2 linked regions of the Saccharomyces cerevisiae S288C genome follow. The gene in region 1 interacts genetically with each later gene. Each region holds a gene or a part of one and is shown in the gene's direction. Other genes may lie near its edges.

Region 1 (3,762 bases):
AGAGAGAGATGTAAGGAAGATGAATACATTCAATACATTCTAGCTTATAGCAAGCTTTCAGCAGGCTCAATTGCTTATAGCGGTATAACTGCAACAAGAGTGAAAATTAATATGGTGACGAACGACGGATTCGGTAGTACAGTGTTATAATGCCGGCAATTACCGTATGCCATCGGAATCCAGATGCATTTCTGAACCTTTCCACTCGGGAAAACCACTCGTCATGTCACACGGAGAGTTGGCCATGAACTGGCTAATGGGATGGTCTAAGGCGACCACTGTAAGAAGAACAAGAGATGATGCAAGCTAAAGCAAGCAGGTCTCAAATAAACGCTACTTGTGCCGTTGACAGCTTGTTTATCTTGCACATGGCAAGGCCATCGCGTCCCTGCGTCCCAAGAGTGCGCGGTATACGTGCGGCCCTAAACGAGGCGGTCTCTGTTCTCTGATATATTTCTTTTCTTTCTTCGTTGTTTTGTTTCGTGTTTGTTGAGCTCCTGCCTTCAATCGGCATCGTCCTCTTGCGTACGTACATAAAATCGTTACAGCTTTGTTCACATGGTGAAAACAATAGCGTTTGGTACGCTCTTTAAATCTTGGCACTTGTCACTTACGCTCCTTTAAACAAAATCAAACATACAAATATACGGATACGTACGCACACAGAAGCATAAAAGCACAAAAGCACATAAGAAGACCACATATAAACTAGATTATGTCCTTTGATAGACAGTTGACCGAAGACCAGGAGGTCGTCCTTAAGCAAATTTGGACACACCTTTTCCATCTGTGGCAAGTTCCCGTGGATGGAACTCATATTTTCCCTAATAACTCCCTCCACTCCTCGTCCACCCCTGCTAAGAAGAAGAAATCATCCTGGTTTAGCAAGCTTCAGTCCTCAGACCATACACAGGACTCCAGCGAAGCCGCTGAAGCGGCACACCTCTATGAAAAGGGCAAGATACACAAGGCACTAGCCAATCTAGACCCGCAAACGACCAAGAAGCAGTTCTGGCACGATATCAAGAATGAAACTCCAGACGCCACCATTTTGAAGTTTATCAGAGCCAGAAAGTGGAACGCAGACAAGACCATCGCCATGTTGGGTCACGATTTGTACTGGCGCAAGGACACTATTAACAAGATCATAAACGGTGGCGAAAGAGCTGTGTATGAGAATAACGAGACCGGTGTCATTAAGAACCTGGAATTGCAAAAGGCCACCATCCAGGGTTACGACAATGACATGAGGCCAGTCATCCTTGTGAGACCTAGATTACATCATTCTTCCGACCAAACTGAACAGGAGCTGGAAAAATTCTCCCTGTTGGTCATCGAGCAATCAAAGCTTTTCTTCAAAGAAAACTACCCCGCATCCACCACCATCTTGTTCGATCTGAACGGGTTCTCCATGTCCAATATGGACTATGCCCCCGTCAAGTTTCTAATCACTTGTTTTGAGGCTCACTACCCGGAATCTTTGGGCCATCTACTTATCCATAAGGCCCCTTGGATCTTTAACCCGATTTGGAACATCATCAAGAATTGGCTGGATCCGGTCGTCGCGTCCAAGATTGTTTTCACTAAGAATATCGACGAATTGCACAAGTTTATCCAACCCCAATACATCCCTAGGTATCTGGGCGGAGAAAATGACAATGATTTGGATCATTACACTCCACCAGATGGCTCTTTGGACGTCCATCTGAAAGACACCGAGACTCGCGCTATGATCGAAAAGGAGAGAGAAGAATTGGTCGAACAATTCTTGACTGTCACTGCCCAATGGATTGAACACCAGCCATTGAACGATCCAGCATACATTCAACTGCAGGAGAAAAGAGTACAACTTTCCACCGCTCTTTGTGAAAACTACTCCAAGTTAGATCCGTACATCAGATCAAGATCCGTTTATGACTACAATGGTTCTCTAAAAGTTTGAGCCAAGCCACGCGACGCTCCATACTGTATAGACCTTTATTATAAAAACATCTATTTCTTTATATGTCCCTCTATCTTATTTTTCTTTTACTTTTATTTGTATAATACGCGAAAAATTATAGAATCATTTATTATCAAAAACAATCAACTATGAAATGAAAAACAATACGCCTGCTAATACGGTTCGCCCTTCAATTTTTGTTTTTTTTACATGAATGAGTCTTATACTAGATGATATCATCCTCTCACTAACGAATGCTAACGAACGAACGCCACCACAGGCCCTTAAAACCACTTTAAGCCTGCTATACGAAAAATCAAAACAATATGGTCTTTCTTCGCCGCAACTACAAGCACTTGTAAGGTTACTCTGTGAAACTTCCATAATAGACACAGTTACAAAAGTGTACATCGTCGAAAATTGCTTTTTACCTGATGGCTACTTGACGAAGGAACTTCTTTTGGAGATTATTAACCATCTCGGTACGCCAACGGTATTCTCTAGATATCGCATACAAACGCCTCCGGTCCTACAATCTGCGTTGTGCAAATGGTTAGTGCATGTTTATTTCCTATTTCCTGTACATTCAGAACGAGAACACAATATATCCAGTTCTATCTGGTTACATTTATGGCAATTCTCGTTCTTACAGAAGTGGATAACTCCCCTGGTTATTTGGCAAGCCACGACGCCCGTTGATGTCAAACCTTGGAAGTTGTCTATTATCAAGAGATGCGCTATGCATCCAGGTTACCGGGACGCTCCCGGTAGTGCGACGCTTATTTTGCAACGATTTCAATGTCTCGTGGGCGCATCCAGTCAGATTACTGAATCAATAATTACCATCAATTGCAATAGAAAGACTTTGAAAAGTCATCGAAACTTAAAATTGGATGCGCATTTCCTATCCATTTTGAAAAGAATATTATCCAGAGCACATCCCGCTAATTTTCCCGCTGACACTGTCCAAAACACAATTGACATGTACTTGAGTGAAATTCATCAATTAGGTGCTGATTCTATATACCCACTTCGACTTCAATCACTTCCAGAATATGTTCCCTCTGACAGTACGGTCTCTCTTTGGGATGTCACTTCATTGGAACAATTAGCTCAAAACTGGCCACAATTGCATATTCCCAATGATGTAGATTACATGATGAAGCCATCTTTAAACAGCAATGTTTTACTGCCGCGAAAAGTCATGTCTAGGGATTCTCTCAAACACTTGTACTCTAGTATCATTCTCATTAAAAATAGCCGCGATGAGTCGTCATCACCATACGAATGGTGCATTTGGCAATTGAAGCGATGCTTTGCACATCAGATAGAGACTCCGCAAGAAGTTATTCCCATTATTATTTCGGTGTCCTCAATGGATAATAAACTGTCTTCTCGCATTATTCAAACGTTTTGTAATTTGAAATACTTAAAACTCGATGAGCTTACGTTGAAAAAGGTTTGTGGCGGAATCTTGCCATTATGGAAGCCTGAACTAATCAGTGGTACAAGGGAATTTTTCGTTAAGTTTATGGCCAGTATTTTTATGTGGAGTACACGAGATGGTCACGACAATAATTGCACATTTTCTGAAACTTGTTTTTACGTTTTACAAATGATTACAAACTGGGTTTTAGATGATAAATTGATAGCACTCGGGTTGACACTACTGCATGACATGCAAAGCCTGCTAACTTTGGACAAAATCTTTAACAATGCTACTTCAAACAGATTTTCTACGATGGCTTTCATCAGCTCGTTAGATATTTTAACTCAACTGTCGAAACAAACGAAGTCGGATTATGCGATCCAATATTTGA
Region 2 (3,169 bases), on another chromosome or scaffold:
GAAGGCATCTCTGGCCTCCAAGGGTAACGCTAGCAAATTAATATTTGATGATGAAGGCGAAGCCCATCCAGTTTATGAACTTGAAGATGAAGAAGAATTTCATAAGAGAGGTGATGCGGAGGTACAAAAGACAGAATTTTTAACTAAAGAATCTGCAGTAATGGCAGACATTGACAATATTGATAAGCAGGTGGCTAAAGAAAAAAAACAAGAGAAGAAGAGAAAAAGACTAGAAGCCATGAGAAGGGAAATGGAGGCTGCTATGGAAGAAGAAATTTCTGGAGATGAAGAAGAAGGGAAGACAGTAGCATATTTAGGAACAGGAAACTTGAGCGATGATATGAGCGACGGTGATATGCCTGACTCGGAAGGCCACTTGAAAAAGAAAGCTAGAACTGTTGACTATTCCCACGGCCACAATCCATCCAATTCAGTTGATGATGACATTATTGAAGTGGAAGAACCACAAACTTTGGAGGATTTGGAATCTTTGACAGCTAAATTAATCCAGGGTTAAACCCTCCTGCATAGTCTAACCTATAGTATTTAGAACTTGTATACATCTATTCTCTACACTAATATACTTATTTCTTTGTTCAAATCATCGGTAATATTACAATAAAAGAAAAATATGCATATACTTTCGTGCATTGAAGGTGTCAAATGAAATCCCGCTTATAGTGAACAGGCTTCCATCATATATACATATATATATATGTTTATATATGTATATCATCACTTATGCTGCTCCAGGAGATGTAGGTATCTATTCTTTCTTAACGGATCCGCATCTATTAATTGGACCAAATATTGTTCCGAGCTTCTTTCCGTTAGAGCTTCCTTTTCTTCCAGAATATCTTCGAGAACTAATAAAATTTTCAAGCACCAAATATTTTGCTTCCCGGAAAATTCAATTTCGTCATTATTTATTAACAGAATGTTTTCTCTCAAGTCTTTCAACATTTTAAGGTACTCTTGTTCGTCCAGAGTTTTACAAACAATGTCGTTTTTAATGAACCACTTGATATAAAACCATACGGATTGGTCTTCGGCGTCGGTAAACATAGCGTTGATGATATAAGATATTTCAGTCCGAATATACTCCTTTTGATTCCCAACCTCTCCTTTCTGAAACATTCTGCTTATGATCTGTACTCTTTGGTGCCATGCAGAATAATTTGAAATGTTATTGTTAATCTTTATTGTTGTGTATTCAAACTCCTCCTTGTCAAGACTTTTATTAGTGATACTCTCTATGTTACCAACAACTATTCTGCGGTAATGCCATCCGTGGTAATTTCTTGCATCTTGTTCCAATAACTTATTCACGACAGCAAGTTCAGTTTGCCACACTTTAGGGGAACTCGTAGGATAATGTTTCAAGACCCAAAGTCTGTGATTCCATATCCAATAGACTTTGGGGTAATCCTTCAATAGCATCATTACAAAAACTAACTCTTTATCCCAGAAAGGTATTTCCAACTCAGAAGCCAAACTCGCTATAATATCCCTTCTGTAATTCCAAATAGCATTAAATTCCGGATTTTTCTCAAGAAGTTCTGATGTTTTCTTCAGAGCTTCAATTGAGTAAATTTTTTCATCTCTCATATTCAAAACATTTTCAGTCAAGCTTCTATAATCATATATTTTCTTTTCGTCTTGAACTCTCTTTTGTCTCAGTAATTCCTTGGTCCACTGTTTCCTTTTAATGCCATGCTGTTTAATGTGGCAAATATAAAAAATTGCTTGGTAGTCAGTAAAAAAAAGAATTCATAATGTAACGAACATTTGAAGTGCACATACCATTGCTGACCTACTGCTTTATAGTATAAATTCAGTATACTAGGTATATGTGGCTCAAAAATGTGGTTTTTTTCTTTTTTGCCTTTAATTTTTTTCAAATGTTTACGTATGGTTTATGATTTAACATTTCAAGAATAGAAATCGCCCCGAAGAATGATTGATGTTAAATACTCGTACAAGAGTATTGAAAACCACTTCAAAGGGGCCCAATAGCACATTTAATGTCACAATCAATATCACTAAAGGGTTCAACAAGGACAGTTACAGAATTTTTCGAGTACAGCATTAATTCCATTTTGTACCAAAGAGGCGTATACCCAGCAGAAGATTTCGTAACGGTGAAAAAGTACGATCTTACGTTACTAAAGACACATGATGATGAACTGAAAGATTACATTCGGAAAATTCTTCTACAAGTTCACAGGTGGCTTCTTGGTGGAAAATGCAATCAATTAGTATTATGTATTGTAGACAAGGATGAGGGAGAGGTGGTGGAAAGATGGTCCTTCAATGTGCAACACATTTCTGGCAATAGCAACGGGCAGGATGATGTTGTAGATTTAAATACAACACAATCACAAATCAGAGCTTTAATCAGGCAAATCACCTCAAGCGTTACCTTTCTGCCCGAACTAACAAAAGAAGGTGGGTACACATTCACAGTACTTGCATATACAGACGCGGATGCTAAAGTTCCGTTAGAATGGGCCGACTCCAATAGTAAAGAGATACCTGATGGTGAAGTAGTTCAATTCAAAACATTCTCTACCAACGATCATAAAGTTGGTGCGCAGGTCAGCTATAAATATTAATAGAATTCAAGTCAAAAAAAAAAAAAAAGACGGAAGTCCAAAAAAATCTCGTTTTCGATGTTTAGAAAGAATATAGATTTATGAACTATATTATACTATACTACGTACTTCCTCTGTAAACCACTTCATGCGTTTTTTCAAGTGCCTCTGTTAAAGAACCTTGAGTGAGAAACGAAGTCTTTGACACTCAAACTTTGCTTTTTTTGTTCTTCTTTTTGTTGTTGTATTTGAGGGGTGGATACTATCCTCTTCATAACAGGTGGTGATATTTTCAGATCTTGCCTCACAAATTTTGACCAATTCGGATCTTGCATCCTTGCCAAGTTGTTTTCAAATTGACCCAAAAGTACCTTGTCCCACTTGAATATGAAAAGATCGCGATTACTGTCTGGCCTGCTGCCCTCGTCAGTGTCGTCTGTTTCTAAGTTGTAGGCACTCCATAGCTTTTTCCATAATGCCAGGTCCCATGGAATGCCCTTTAAAGCGAGGACAAAAGACCATACCGCTGAATCAGGGTTATTATTGGTCAATTTGGAGTAGGTCTCGTAATAGTC

The links.
Region 2: mutations in CTF3 (region 1) and MAD2 together harm fitness more than expected from each alone (negative genetic interaction), as found in Saccharomyces cerevisiae (8 studies listed by BioGRID, with this or other methods).

Annotation. Positions count from the first base shown.
Region 1 is NC_001144.5:877,567-881,328, forward strand, and holds the start of CTF3 (Ctf3p), read left to right. Parts: upstream 1-2,156; coding exon 2,157-3,762. Other genes in the region: YLR379W-A (uncharacterized protein), read left to right, coding at 1-150; CSR1 (Csr1p), read left to right, coding at 716-1,942. UniProt on the Saccharomyces cerevisiae protein: Component of the central kinetochore, which mediates the attachment of the centromere to the mitotic spindle by forming essential interactions between the microtubule-associated outer kinetochore proteins and the centromere-associated inner kinetochore proteins.
Region 2 is NC_001142.9:385,633-388,801, forward strand, and holds MAD2 (spindle checkpoint protein MAD2), read left to right. Parts: upstream 1-2,024; coding exon 2,025-2,615; downstream 2,616-3,169. Other genes in the region: RNA-dependent ATPase HCA4, read left to right, coding at 1-517; Rab geranylgeranyltransferase BET4, read right to left, coding at 736-1,716, 1,804-1,806; VPS53 (Vps53p), read right to left, coding at 2,753-3,169. UniProt on the Saccharomyces cerevisiae protein: Central component of the spindle assembly checkpoint which is a feedback control that prevents cells with incompletely assembled spindles from leaving mitosis. Thought to be recruited to unattached kinetochores by MAD1.